Linked DNA regions of Arabidopsis thaliana. The protein of the gene in region 1 interacts with the protein of each later gene in a pairwise test. Each region holds a gene or a part of one and is shown in the gene's direction. Other genes may lie near its edges.

Region 1 (7,312 bases):
ACACTGGAATTATTTCTGGATTCACATTGGTATCTTCCTACTTGAAGAAGGCTGAGTCATGCGGAACGATGGTGAGCATTATTAAGTTGTGGCCTCACGGTGCAACCGATCTGAATCTTTTCTTTGCCTTGTACTGATCCAGAAATGTTCTGATGCTTTTCAGGTTAAGACTGTTGTAATTGGTCTTGGAGCAGGATTACTTCCCATGTTCCTCCATGGATGCTTGCCATTTTTCAGTATTGAGGTAATTTCAGTTTAAAGGATTAATCAAGTTGAGTATTTTCTATTGCCACTCATATTCTGTATCCTGTTGAATAGGCGGTTGAGCTTGACCCAGTAATGCTTAGTGTTGGCAAGGATTACTTTGGTTTCACACAAAATGATCGCTTGAAGGTAAAATTCTCCCTCTTTACAACAAAAGTGCTGGCTAAACTTTAACATGTTTATATTCTATTCTATTATATGCACCATCACTCAGCTCGTTCGCATTCTTATAATAGGTGCATATTGCTGATGGGATCAAATTCATTAGAGATATAACAAACTCTGAAGCTTCGTCTGAGGAATCGTCAAACATTGGCTCAAATGGAGATTCAACCACTCACAATACACAAGGTGGAATTTGTCCTGACATTTTAATTATAGATGTGGATTCAGCAGATTCAAGGTAAAAGACATGGCAAGTAAATTCACATATCTATGAATTTACCCACATGGTAAGCCTGATTGTTTTCTTGTTTGATCTCTTGTCTGCAGCGGCGGATTAACCTGCCCTGCATCTGATTTTATCGAAGAGACATTTCTTCTTTCGGTTAAGCAAGCTCTCCCTCAGCACGGTCTTTTCATAGTGAATTTGGTCACGAGATCACAGTCCGTCAAAGATATGGTAGTATCAAGAATGAAAAAGGTAAAGCAAATGTGATTCATTCCTTGTAAATTCTCTGCATATTTTCACAAATCTGATCTGATACTATTGCACGGAAATTGAGTCATAGAATTGATCTCTATTGTTTTGTTTTTTGCCAAGGTTTTCGATCATTTATTTGGCCTGCAACTAGAAGAGGAAGATGACGTAAACGTAGTGCTCTTTGGGCTTTGCTCTGAATCTGTAATCAGCGAGAACGATATTCCAGAATCTGCAGTTATACTGGAGGGATTGCTCAAGTGCCAGAGATTGGAAACGAAGCAAAGCATCATAGACGCTACAAAGAAGCTGAAATGCTGGAAATAAAAACATTCTTTATTATTTCGTTTTAAAAAGACGTGTGAGATATATTTCTGTTATAAGTTAAGATTGAAATTTTTGAGACTATATTATATACAATACACCTAGTTTCGTCCATACGCAAATGGAAAATGAAGCGTGGAGTTTTTTTCATAACCTTTATGATTGTTAGACCTACCAACTTATTGAAGCATTCAATTTGGATGATAGTGAAGTTGGAATGTAAGTTAAACATCAATGTCTTGATTAATTTTGTGCATTTTTGGGAACTATCCGTATTGTTTCTGATTTGAGTGATCTTCCTTATTGTTGCTAAGAAATGCTCGAATGGTGATTAGCATAATTGCTGTTTATTCATTGGAGCTATAATAATTATGGTTGTAATATTGTAATTTGGGAAAGAAAGCCTTTGATACAGGCCGATTTTGGTACGTACGTAAGAGAGATATAAATTGAAACACCTAAACCAAAATCTGGTCGCCGCGAAGACAAAAGAAAAACATTTGTGGCAAAGAAACAAATTCAGAAACCGCGTGGGTCCGATATGGAACGCTGATCAATTGGACATTTGTAAACATTTCAAATATTTTGCATGTAATCAATATTGTTGTTATATTTTTTGCCTTTTAGTTATAGTTAGGTTTGTTTTTTCTGTTTGTTTGGTTAGATTCAACTATTTGTTTATGCTTTTCAATTTTGGGTTAGTATTTAGCTGTTTACTTTGGAGAAACAAAAGAAGATAGATTCTGTTCCATATAAACAAAAAGCTGTGTCGTTGAAACTTGAAAATGTGAATATACTCGGATATCAACCAAAGGGTACGCTGCATTAACCAACCTCCCTCGTAGAAAATTTCAAAGAAAGGATAACAAAACAAGAAAAAGCACAAAGTTGAAAAAGAAGTGACAGATGCAGAAGAATTGGTCAAAATCATTTTGACAAAACTACATAAAAAACAATCAAATGTCACTTTCAAAATTATTAGCTTATTTATTATTTTATTATGAAAATAATGAAAGCGACTTCTATCTGGGACTGGTAAAAGGACCTCTCTCACCATTGGTTGTACATTAGCTGTCAAATTTTTACATTTCCATTACATTCCCTAACTCCAAATATATACACTAAACTAAATTCTTCAAGTTACTTCCTAATTACTACTATAGTAATTATTTCCTAACCGTCAAATAGTACTGAATAACACATATAATATAGTTTCGATTGATTAAGAGATTTGAATTAAACAGAATAAAGTTTTACGATTATATATTCTAACAATTTATTTGTCTCACAAAAAAATCTATAGATTTAATGAGAATTAAATGAAGAGGACGAAAGGAAAAACAAAATGAAGAAAAAGACATATGAAACGTAGTCCCCTCTTTTCTTTGCTTTCTTCTCTACATAAAACTAAAACTCCTCTCTTTCACGACCCTTTAAGTAACGACGCCGTTTTCATCCAAACACAAACCTCTGGAATCGTGTCACCGTTGGAGCTCCGGCTTCATTAATGGCTTTCTTCAAGACCTGAAGACAAAAGAAAGTAAAAATATATATACACTAGAGAGACCAAGATCCTCGTTTATGGGTTTCATCGTGTCTTGTGCTTAGGGTGACATAAATACCCATTTAGAGAGCTTAGACCAAGAAGTTTTAGAGTTTGTGAAGTTACTTGTTGGTTAGTCTGCTGTTTCTGGCAAATGCTGAGTCTCTTCTCTCTGTAAGTTCTTTTTTCTTCATTTACTCTGTTTTGTTCCCCATTTTTGGTCTTTTTGACTTAACTTAGAGTATTTTAAGGCAAAATAAAATCATGAATCTTTTGGTATTTTTTGTTCTCATCTTCTTGTGGGGTTTTTCTATTGAAGTTTGCTTAGCTTTGAATCTTGTCTAATGGAGCTAACTCGATCCAAAATAAAAACACGTATAATGATTAACTAGTTCTGCTCATTAGATGAACTAAATTAATGAGTTAATTCCGTAGTTTCATGCATCCTACAATGTATTGTCTATGTATGGAAGCAAAGTATGATATCATATTTAAACATCTATGATTGTGCTACTAAACTTTAAATAATACTTTAAGCTGATGTGATCTTATATGGATAACCTCTGACCATTATCTACTTTCTTTGACCATTGCTCTTGTTTTCTAATCCAAAAGTCGTATCTTCCAATGCATTAGTTGGTCCAAACCTAGATTTGCATCCCTTAATTTGTAGTAGTTAACATCTAATTTTGATGTTAAAACCAAGACACCACTTTGTTTGTCTGGTCTGAGAATATCTCAAGGCGTATAGTTTTGTCCTTATGACGCTTGCAAAAGCAAGTTGTTGAGTTGTAATCTTATGTTTTTTTCTGCAACTTGCCTTGGATGAAGCCATGAGATTATCTTTATAAATGGTAGCAAGTAAACCGGTTTCTTATGTCGAAAAACCGATCATTTTTGTTTTGTTTGATGACAAGGAATGGAATACTCTAGAGACTCGGCAGAGATGATGATGGAGACTAAGCGCAATGTCTACTCGCTTGAAGATAACAAAATTAAACGACACAAGTCATCTGATCTCTCTTTCTCTTCCAAGGTCTTGTGATACATCAAAATCAAAATTCATTGTGGCTATGAAGCTACCGGACATTTCTGTACCAGCATGCTAATGATCTTGAAACTTTGTTGTTCTGTGGTTTAAACAGGAGAGGAAAGACAAATTAGCAGAACGTATTTCAGCTCTTCAACAACTAGTTTCCCCTTACGGAAAGGTACTACTTGGTCCGAAATAATCTTTCTTACACGCTCTTTGTCTTCTCTAGCCATGTTCAAGTCTCTATCTATGCAGACCGACACTGCATCAGTTCTTCTAGAGGGAATGCAATACATTCAGTTTCTTCAAGAACAAGTCAAGGTCTGCTCAAGTTTTCTAATCAAATACTTTTCATTCATTCACCTCCTCCAATCCAATGATGATTATGCTTGATTTTCTCTGTTCAGGTTCTAAGTGCTCCTTATCTGCAAGCAACCCCTTCTACTACAGAGGTGAGCTGAATCTATGATCTGGATCTCGTTTACTTGGATCACAATGCAAGACTGATATTTTCCATCTCTGTAACTAGGAGGAAGTGGAAGAGTACAGCTTAAGAAGTAAAGGGCTATGTCTTGTTCCATTGGAGTATACATCAGAAGTTGCTCAAACCAATGGTGCTGATATTTGGGCTCCTGTGAAGACTCCAACATCTTCTCATGCTTTTAATCTCTCGTCTTCTAATTCGCCCTTTCAATGAGCTGCTGCTAAATTCTCTGTCTCAAGACTAATGAAAATTAGCCAAAGCTTTGGTCTGATCATGTATTGATGGAGAGACCTTGAAGTCGGTGATGGCTGTTTCTGTTATTTTTTACTGCTTAATCCCAACTCTGTGGTGGCTTCTTGTAACAATTGATTCTAATGCGAAGTTTAACGGACCGGTCAATGACCGGAATTAGCTTCCTGTTTAATAAAGTTTGAATTGGTGAAAAAGAGTTAACCGGTTTAGAGAAACCCGGGAAACTTAACCCGACCCAAAATTGTCAAACCCGTTTTGTTTGCGGCTATTGAAGGATCTTCTATTGAAGAGAGCAGCTAGCTAAAACCCTAAAGCCCTAAAATCAAAATTACGCTAAACAGAGAAGGCGACAATGGATCACATCGCTGCGGCGGAAGAGCAAATCGTATCGGAGAGACTTCGAAGAAAGCTTGAAGAAGTTAATGTAGCTGCTCAGACTCAGCTTTCTCCTATCCAAGATCACATCAATTTCACCCTTCAGGTATATACAAAAATCTGTACTTTTCGCGAGCTCAGCATAAATTCTCTCTGATATAACAATTTAGCAATGTTAGCTTCTGAATATGGAATCTTTATTGGTTTGATACAATGCTAGTTTCAAATTTGATGAATTGAGTAGGTTCATGAAAAAAGTCTGAAAATTTGCATTTGGGTTCGTACTATATTCGTCTTTAGACACTATGGATTAGGTTCACGACAATTGCTCTGGTTTAATTACTATATTGTGCTCTGTAGGATATTCGATAAGTAGGCGTGTCTCGTTGCATAACAATTGCTCTGCTTTGTCTTCAGAAGCATGAGAGTTATTAACACCTTCTCTTGTGTTTTTGGGTTGCTATATTGAGTTATATGATCCGTTGATTCAAATTAATTAAACCCTGACAACGATATCATTGTTGCAGCAAGCTTATTTCAAATGTGCATATGAGTGCTTTGATAGAAGAAGAAAGCAAGAGGAGATAAGTAACTGCGTCGAGCACTGCAGTGTTCCCGTTGTCAAATCTCAACAGTATTTCGAGAACGAAATGGCTCAATTTCAGGTAAAGATATCTGCTAAAAGATGATACATAGTTTGCTGTGTATAAAGACTGATTTTTGTTGAATGAATGTATAGGAAAGATTGAACAGATCACTGGTGGTGTGTCAAGACAAGTTTGAGGCCTCAAAGCTCCAGAAGATAAGGCCTGAAGCGGTTAACGAGATGGAGAGTTGTGTGCACAAATCCATTGAGGAAAATCTCAATACATTACCACATATTGTGCAGAGAATGAAGACAGCATTTAACATAACCAACTAAAAGCTCTCGTGAAAAACCTTGGATTCCAGAACTTGACTAGCCATATTGTTTGAAAAGACCTTTTCTTTTGTCTTAATATGATCTACAAATTTGTTTTCCTTTTTCTTATATTAAGTTTTAAAATTTGCCACTGTTTTGGAATAACTGTATTTGCTTGTTCTTCATCTTCCCTAGCGAAAACTTTAAAACTCTATAAAAAAAAATTGAGGATAAATACATGAATTTAAAGATTGAACCGAACAAAAGAGACTAACCAATAGAATAGAAGCAAGTAATTTAGTGAATATCTAAAACTAATATAAAAATATATAGAGATTATCACTAACAAAAAAAAATAAAAAATAATAGAGAGTTATATATACCTTTGTTCGTTTGTGAAAGGAATTGACAATCAGAATCATATAAAAGCAAGACTATAAACTCCTCTCTGCCGCTTAACTCTTTCTTCTTGTCTCTCTATTTTTTATAACAATGGTGAGAGGAGATGATCAACTTAATGGTTTGCAGGGAGGGAAGAGAGCGTTAGATATTTTATGTGTAGCGACGGAGAGAACGGTTAGCGCTTTTGCATATGAGGAAATAGGAGAAACATCCACTGAAGGTGATAAAAGGAGGGAGAGACTGAGAAGACTGAGAAGATTAATTAATTACAGTCTGAGCACAACTATGAATTCCAGCTTGAGCAAACGACTGAAGATTGATGAGTGCAAGAATCAAGACCCGGAACAAAACCCTAATCGTGTTGCTTCTTCTCCAAGTTCGTGCCATCTAGAGTCCAAGAGGCCTCAAAAAGTGGTTTCAAACAAACCGGTAAGAAACAGAAAGCCGGTTATAGTGACAGATGAAGATAGGACACCGACGGAATGGCTGATTGACGTGATGAGAGAAGTGAACGGTATGGATGCAAAGCTGATATTTGTGAAGGTTCTTCCCAATAGTGATGTCGACGAACTTCAGACACGTCTTATGATGCCCTGGAAGCAGATACTAGATATGGACTTCTTAAACGAGGAAGAGTTAGAAAAAATAGATAGACATCACAAAAAGATTAGTGCCAGTGACAAAGGAGCGGATGTGATCGTGGTGAATTCTAAGGGTCTACAGAGGAAGCTTAAGCTCAAGAGATGGGATATGACTTCCACTTCCAACTACGTCTTAGGTTTAGGATGGAACAAGGTCGTCACCGATAACATTCTACAGAGAGGCACTAGGCTTCGGATCTGGTCCTTCCACTCCCCAGACATGCTCTTTTTCGCCTTCGTTCTTTCAGATCCAGATCCAGCTCCGACTGAGTGCCTAAATTTATTGGCTAAATTGTGCGAGGAGACGACTTGTCTCGAGGCTTTACAAGAGGCAAATAGGATGAGCTCACTCGTCTCGGACACAGAGCTGGACCTCGAGCTCCGGTTGTAGTTAAGAGTTTCCAGCAGCAAAAAACAGCTCTTCTAGCTCTACTGCCGAGGTTTGCCATGCAA
Region 2 (8,019 bases), on another chromosome or scaffold:
CAAACTGAAACAGAGCAAAATTTATAACTAAAAACAGAGCAAAAAATTCTAAGAAGTTTAAGAACAGAGCAAAGTAATGTTTGTTTAAAACCTGCTGGTCTTCCTGCAGAACCAAATGCCATACTGCTCGCGCTTCCGCTGGCTCCATAAGCCGTCGATGTTTTCACGGCAGCGTTTACAGCGCCGTGCTGATACATTCCGTTAAGCAACAACATATCAAAGCCTCCTCCGAGTTCTGACTTTTGTCCTGACAAGTTTGTAGCTGTTTGCACCAAAGCTGTTTCCCAATCCGCAGAATCATCCTTAAACGCTTCCCATCCTGGACCAGACTCTGAACCAGAACCGCTTGCGTATGGCCCGTCAAATAAAGCCAACGCTAAGCTATCTCCAGCTTGTCCTGCTTCACCGCCGTTTGTATTCCCAAGATCAAGTAAATCACCCATTTCTTCTTGTTTCTTCTCTATGATCACTTCTTCCTTTGCTTCTTCCTCAGGTTTTACGTCATCTTCTTCTTTTGGTGGAGGTTCAGGTAAGGCCTTTATTGCGTTCATATCTTCTTGCTCTTCATTTACTTCCTCTGTTCTCGCTTCATCATCATCTTCATCGGCTTCAGATTTAACAGATTTTGATTGCTTGGTGTGTTCTAAAGCAGATTTGTCTCTTATAAACTCATCCATGAGATCAAGCTTCTTCTGTGTGATCTTCTCTATCTCTGGATACTCAGAAGACCGTGCGATCCCCATGTTCTTACACCAAGAGTAGAACTGATCGAGCTCTTCGAATTGTTTCGAGACCCGGCAGAAAATGTCATAGACCTTGATCGAATCAGGAATATCTAACTCCATGAATCGTTCAATCAAAATCCCCATTATCTCTGTTACATCGTAATATATCTGAAAACTCTCCTTCACTATCGGATACAGAGCCACAATCACAACTCTGTTGTTCCTCGCATTACCTGTTAACAAAATAACATTGGTCCTTATATAAATTTTTATCCAAGAAACAAACACACACAGAGAAAGAAATCTTGAGACGCAAGTTATTACCTGTTGGGCGACAAGCCAAGAAACGGTCAAGAAGTTGCTGCAAATGTTGGATTCTGATGAAAATCTGCTCTGTTTTCATCTCGGCGATCGGTTGTGACCTGACCACGATAGCCGTGGAGAGATCTGCCGCAGCTTGATCCTGTTCTTCTTCGTCAGCTTCTCCTCCAACGCAGTAAACTCCACGTTTCCCGTGTCTCGCTTGCATCCTCAAAAATTGCAATGAAAAAAAAAAAAAAACCGCATATCTTAGATATCATTCAAATTACATAAATAACTTGAAATCCCGAATCGGAACCTGGATCAAGCACAAGAACTCTTACCTGAAATCAAGCCTTTCGTCAAGGTACAATGCGTAAGTCCTGACAAACGCAGAGTAGTCCCAAGAATTAGACCTCGAAACATCCCTAAAATCAGACATATTGAGAAGCCTTGTTCCACGGCGAGTGGCGAAGAAGATCTCTTGCTCGTAGGCTTGATCTCCTTCTCCTAAGAGCCTTTGGATCAAAATCAAGGTTTTGAGGGCAACGGTCCAGCATTTGGTTTTATTAAGGCGTCTCGAAAGCGTGCTAACGCAAGCGTTGATGTAACTGCGTGAGTAAGAAGTTAGGCTAAGAATCTCTCTAATGTATTTCTCTTCTGCTGGAAACTCTTCGTGACGAGTGGCTTTGACGATGGCTACGTCAAGTTCAGATAAAGAAGCGCTTCGACCATTGACTTTGGCTAGACCGACGCTGGTTTGGTCCTTTACGGCTCCTATGGCTCGTTTAAACTTACTCGAACCCATTTTTATTCTGATTAGTTAGTAAATTTGTATTAAAGACAAAAAAAAGAAAAGAAAATATGTAAAAGAAAAGATTTGAAGAGAGAAAAGGGAAGAACGAGGCTTGTTTTTATTTTGTTTTTGTTTTTCCTCGTCGTTTCCTTTTTTCTCCTCTGTTTCTTGTTTAGTTTTGTTTTGTTTCTTCTTCTTCTTCTTCTATGTTTTTGTTTGTTTGTTTCGTCAATGTAGTTTCTTTGTTGTTCGTCGATTATTCACCATCTAAAGTCGCCGAGGTTATTGGAGGCTTTGTCCGGTGAGAAATATGGCCACGTGGCAAAAAATTAACTTATTGTTTGACGGGTCAACTGAAATTTAGTTTGCATTTGCCATTAATGGGTAAGGAGAAGAGTACTGATTAAAGAGGAAAAAACTTTCTTCTAATTTGTAAAAAAAAATACACCAAGCTTTTTTCTTATGGATTGGAAGCCCAAGATTGAATTATGGAATCCAACAAATCAAAATCGATCCAAGCCCATTTCTGCTGACATATTTTTTACTCGTATTATATTCAGAAATGCCACAATTTTGTTTTGTGAAAAATAGAAAAACCCTTGTCTCTCAAAATGGAAAACGAGTCGGACAACGGTTCAGCACTAAGGAGAAGCAAGTTGTAATACCATATGGCAAAATGAAACGTGTCATTTTTATATTGGATATTAGAAACTTTACTCCATGAGTGCTAAATTTCGGAAAAAACGACAAAGACAGATTTTTTTAAAAAAATCTTATTTTCTACCACTAACGAGATGACGACGACCCCGACAATGCGTAGAATTTTTCCCATATCATTTATATATTTTAAAAAAAGAAAGTTATATTGGTTTTTAACATTCTACTAAAAAGAGTTTGGTAAAAGACCTTTTTCTTAATTTGATATGAATAAATTGAAGAAAGTCAAAACAAAAAGCCCACTTCAAAACAAATAAAGCCCACTTCAAGTTTCTGGAAGGTATATAAGAACAAGGGCAAAACCGAAAATAAACCACAAAGTAAGGTCCTTTTAACAAAAATAAAATGAAAGAGAGCATAAAGTGAGTCTTTTTGTCATATCCTTTCTCGTCTGTGTCTCTTCGTCCTCATTAGCTTAAGCATCATCATTCTCTCACCTAACAACTCCACACAAGATTCTTCGCATGGAAAGTTGTTCTTCGACTTCTCTTCTCTAACTCGCTATCTTTTAACTCACCCAGCTCCACTGAGTCGAAAATTTCAAACCTTTACTCGTTTCCTTCATGGCTAATAACAACAACATCCCACATGATAGCATCTCCGATCCATCTCCTACCGACGATTTCTTCGAGCAGATCCTCGGGCTTTCCAACTTCTCCGGTTCTTCAGGTTCTGGTCTCTCTGGAATCGGCGGCGTGGGTCCACCTCCGATGATGCTTCAGCTTGGTTCAGGCAACGAAGGGAATCATAATCATATGGGTGCCATTGGAGGAGGTGGACCTGTAGGGTTTCATAATCAGATGTTTCCGTTGGGATTAAGTCTCGATCAAGGGAAAGGACATGGCTTTCTTAAACCTGATGAAACTGGTAAACGTTTCCAAGACGATGTTCTTGATAATCGATGTTCCTCTATGAAACCTGTAAGTTTCTCTTCAGAATCTTCACTTTGTCTTTTTCTTTTGTGTTCTCGAGAAAATAAAGTGAAATTCAAATCTTTAGGGTTTCAAAATGGTGTCGTTTTTGAGAAAACCCAGCTTAGGTCTAAATTTGATAGTTACCGAGAGTTTTTGGCTCAGATTGGTGAGATTTGATGTTTTTGAAGAAACCCAAGTTGAAGATTTTGATGTGTTTTAAAGTCATAACACTAAAATTAGTTTTGCAAGAAACTTTAGTATAAAAGAGTGTTCTTTTATGTCCAAATTATATTGTAAGAAAATTTGCTCTTTAGTTTCTTTTCTCATGTGGATAATTCCGTCATAGTTTGAATTGTTGCTATAACTACTCTAGTGGCGACCGTTCTTGTGAGAAGCGGTTTTTAAGCTTTTCTTAATGTTATTACGGCATTGTTTTGTGTTTTGTTGAAGATTTTCCATGGGCAGCCAATGTCACAGCCAGCTCCACCAATGCCGCATCAACAGTCTACTATTCGGCCTAGAGTTAGGGCTAGGCGAGGTCAAGCTACCGATCCACATAGCATCGCTGAGAGGGTAAGATGTTTGATACACTTTTTTTATCTTCTGGTCTCTTTTTTCGATTTTTATGTGATAATGTTTGATCAAAGCTTTAATTATAGCTTTTGGTTGAGAAAGTTCGATTAGTTCTTACTTACTAAGAACGGTAAGACCTAACCTGAATGTATTTGCTTTGCAACAGCTCCGAAGGGAAAGAATAGCAGAACGGATCAGGTCGTTGCAGGAACTTGTACCTACCGTTAACAAGGTTGGTATCTTTTTCTCTAGAGCTTCAGCTACTGTTTTCATGTCGCGAAGAGAGCTTGAAAGAGATTTTAAAAGTAGGGAGAAAACTAGAGTTGTCAATGAGAGAAAAGTTTTGTGATTGGCATATAGAAACTGCGGTATTCACATCTGTTTCTTTTGCTTTCCTTTTGCAGACAGATAGGGCTGCTATGATCGACGAGATTGTCGATTATGTAAAGTTTCTCAGGCTCCAAGTTAAGGTAAACACCCAAGTCATTTTCAGTTTTCTATTCTCTGGTTTTTGAAAATGCTATCATTAAAAGTTTGTAGAAAGATTATTTAAAACAGCCAGAAGGATTTAGTGGTGTAAATCCTTGGTCCCCACCACCACCTACTCTCTTAAACCAAACTTCCAATCTTAATAAAAGATTATAATTGTTTAATCTGGCAATAAAGAGTAATCAAAGAGTACATGATTGTGTGTTTTTTGGCATTAGTGTCTTTCACTTTTTGCTTGCTTCCCTCCCATGGAGAATCATCACAATTGAGGACTATTGTAATAAAGCTAATGAGAACATTGAAGAATATTTTATGCAATGATGGGCTTTGATAATATTTTTCCTTCATAAGCTTTATCTCTGGTCAACTATGGCAGGTCCTGAGCATGAGCCGTCTTGGTGGAGCCGGTGCTGTCGCACCACTAGTCACTGAAATGCCATTATCTTCATCAGTTGAGGTTAGACTAGAGAGAGATACTTCATTAAAAAAAGAACAGAACTTTGGTAATGGTTTTTCTTGCACTGACTTGTGGTGTAAAAACTTTCTTCAGGATGAGACGCAGGCCGTGTGGGAGAAATGGTCAAACGATGGGACAGAGAGGCAAGTGGCTAAGCTGATGGAAGAAAACGTTGGAGCAGCGATGCAACTTTTGCAATCAAAGGCTCTTTGCATAATGCCGATCTCATTGGCAATGGCGATTTACCATTCTCAGCCACCAGACACATCTTCTTCAATCGTCAAACCAGAGATGAATCCTCCACCGTAGATTTTTGTTCATCCAACGGTCCCCAGCTGATGATTGACATTTTGCTCTGTTTCCCACTACTAGACTTTTGTGACTCATGAAAGGTAAGTAAAAAGGCATTGGAGATGGAATCTAAGTAGGATTTGTGCAGTAAAGAAGTAAAACGGGATCTGTCAAAAGAAGGAAAAAGCTCTCGCTTGCTTGGCTAGTATTTATCATTTTGATGAAAGTAACTCTTTTTTGTTCAAAGACTTTAGTGTGATTTTCAGGACCAAGGGCTTTGAGGGTAGTGCTAGCTGTAGTAATAGTAATGAAGGTGTGGGATCGTGTTTCTGAATTATGTAAAAAAGGAAGAAAAAACAAATGTTGGTATTATATTATGGTTTTGCCTCTCTTTTTTTTCTTGCACTAATTTGGATAGACCATTTAACTATTCAAAATGATATAGTTGGGAGCTGGACTGATTATAATTAGGTAATTTCCCGCGCATTCAAACACTTTATGCATTAGAACTTCTAATTTAGAAGTATAAAACACATTGTCTGAACAAAATCCGTGAGTATGCAGAGAACACTAGCATACACAGTTTACTGCGAACAAATTGCTTATTGGAAGTTTCCGTTGCAAGAAAAAGACATTGTAGACCAAAGGCAATCTTCCCTTGAAGCGCAACATTGTCTTTTGTTATTCATCTTATTCTGTTTCGTCCAATAGCCCCCTTGAAAGTAGATTCAAATGTTCATAGATCTGATCAGTAGATCAGCGTTTGTCTTTGACTTTATTATCAGCTCTGCGTTGGGTCGGTCATTATAATCCACCTGCCATCCAAATTTGAAAAAAAGAAGCAGCTAGCTACCTTGAACAAACCATTGAAACCATGTAACTGAATATTAAGTAGAGTAGAGCCAGAGCTTTTACCCGCCATTTAGCAACATCTGGGGGTTTACCTGTAATTCACAAAGGGAAAACGGATTAAACAAAAGCGAGATTCTCTGAGGTCATTGCGGGTTCTCAAGAATCGAAATAAGAGAAATTGTACACACCAGTTGAGATATGCCGGTTTTCAACACGTTGCATTGCTGTATCGAGATTCACATCGATGAACCTTGAATTGAAGATGGAAAGACATCAATTGGTAAAACCGAACTCAAATACCACGAGTGAGTGAGAAAAGGAAAAAACACTTTTGATTAGTCTTTACCATTTCTCATCAAACATATCTGAGATGTCTTTCCAAGACCCTTCTTCTAACAAGATGTAGTTTCCTTCTACAATTACCACTTTATGCCTAAGAAGAGGACATAAGTTAGCTGACTGTCTCCGGAATAGGCAAACAAAACCATTTCATATTACACTAGATTCGGATTTGACAGATTTAGGAAGCTACTGACTACTTACTGGAGGCTAACAAAGATATCATCTTCAACTGGATCCCCAACTCCATGATCAAATGATGGCACATAAACTGAGCCCTGGAAAGCTTGAAAACTAATCAGAGTCTATTGTAAGTCTCCCAACTTCAAGATCCTAAGGTCAACAAGATTTTGTAACCACCTCTTTACCTCGTTTTTCAGCTTCTTTAAACAGTTAAGCAGTAGTGCAGGATCAAAAGTCCACGGAGCTGATTAGTGGATAGAAGGGTCAAACCAAGTTTGAACATTTCGAAAAAATCTTTGAATAAGACAATTATAACAGATCTCACCCCCTCTTCTCGCATGGGCTTCTTTGGGATCCTAGAGTGACAAAACAAAATACAGAATTCCTCTTAAACAACAAAGAGAAAGAGACATAATAAGAGAAATATAACTCAGCAAAATATTATGAGCTCAACCTCCATAGCATCGAGTTGCGAACGATACAAATGGAAACCATCCATGGGAAGTACTATAGCAACATCCGGTGGATTAACCTCAGCATCAAAAGAAGCAGCTTTCTGAGGCCATAGCTTATTTACACGACGCACAACTTCATTTGCTACTGTACTTTTCCCGGCACCAGGAGGACCAGCCAAACCGACCAAACGTCTACACGAGTCAACACACAATTCATAGGAGTTATCTAAAAACTCGGGTGCAGCTAACAGAACAGAACAACATTTAAAGAGTAGCAAACTTACTTAAGATTGGGGCTAAACATTGCCGCTGCTGTAGGGACAAGACGTTCCGCCAACTTATCATAGATCTCATCCATACAACTTCCAAGAAGCAAAAAAAGAATGCATCAATACTTTGGTAGAAGCAATGAGAAGAGAAGTGAACAAAACCACATATGAGATTTTACCTTCCATCAACAACAGTGACATCTTTCTTCTGACTGCAAGAAATCTGCAAGAGTCGATTAATTTCAAGTTGAACACAGAAGAGATTAAGCAAACAGAAGAGAGAGTCAATATGAATTTAAAATTGTTTGATTTCGAAAACCCACCAAATAACGAGGGGTGTTCTTTCGTTTTCGAATGCTGAAATGAAGAGGAACAAGAGATTGGTCCCATAAGTGAACTTTGAATCCCCTGAAACGAGACAATTCTGCAATATGAATCGCGAAAAGGGGAGATTAATTAATATCTGTAGCAAGCTCTTAATCATAATCCGATAAGGAAAAACAGAGAATTGTGAAACCTGGAACAAAGGAGCGTGAGTTACAGTATCTGGGTACAGTGGAGAAAGAAGAAACCTCCATTGATGAACGCACAGATCAATAACTGAAATTATCACTCAAGAAATGAAAATTTGAAATCACAACAGTTCCGACTCAAATGTC

The links.
Region 2: the proteins of AT2G31730 (region 1) and AT1G03040 interact in binary tests that used the Arabidopsis thaliana proteins (3 or more experiments, as listed by UniProt).

Annotation. Positions count from the first base shown.
Region 1 is NC_003071.7:13,484,972-13,492,283, reverse strand, and holds AT2G31730 (basic helix-loop-helix (bHLH) DNA-binding superfamily protein), read left to right. Parts: upstream 1-2,604; 5' UTR 2,605-2,945; intron 2,946-3,592; exon of another isoform or gene 3,593-3,688; 5' UTR 3,689-3,690; coding exon 3,691-3,807; intron 3,808-3,916; coding exon 3,917-3,982; intron 3,983-4,059; coding exon 4,060-4,125; intron 4,126-4,211; coding exon 4,212-4,256; intron 4,257-4,333; coding exon 4,334-4,501; 3' UTR 4,502-4,734; downstream 4,735-7,312. Other genes in the region: AT2G31740 (S-adenosyl-L-methionine-dependent methyltransferases superfamily protein), read left to right, coding at 1-71, 164-244, 319-393, 501-667, 757-907, 1,028-1,231; AT2G31725 (FAM136A-like protein (DUF842)), read left to right, coding at 4,893-5,021, 5,443-5,580, 5,655-5,837; AT2G31720 (B3 domain protein (DUF313)), read left to right, coding at 6,309-7,250.
Region 2 is NC_003070.9:701,540-709,558, reverse strand, and holds AT1G03040 (basic helix-loop-helix (bHLH) DNA-binding superfamily protein), read left to right. Parts: upstream 1-2,894; 5' UTR 2,895-3,101; coding exon 3,102-3,458; intron 3,459-3,902; coding exon 3,903-4,025; intron 4,026-4,191; coding exon 4,192-4,257; intron 4,258-4,429; coding exon 4,430-4,495; intron 4,496-4,890; coding exon 4,891-5,280; 3' UTR 5,281-5,710; downstream 5,711-8,019. Other genes in the region: AT1G03050 (ENTH/ANTH/VHS superfamily protein), read right to left, coding at 92-958, 1,050-1,255, 1,370-1,833; AT1G03030 (P-loop containing nucleoside triphosphate hydrolases superfamily protein), read right to left, coding at 5,991-6,077, 6,178-6,206, 6,303-6,364, 6,461-6,547, 6,658-6,731, 6,822-6,880, 6,962-6,992, 7,091-7,283 and 4 more.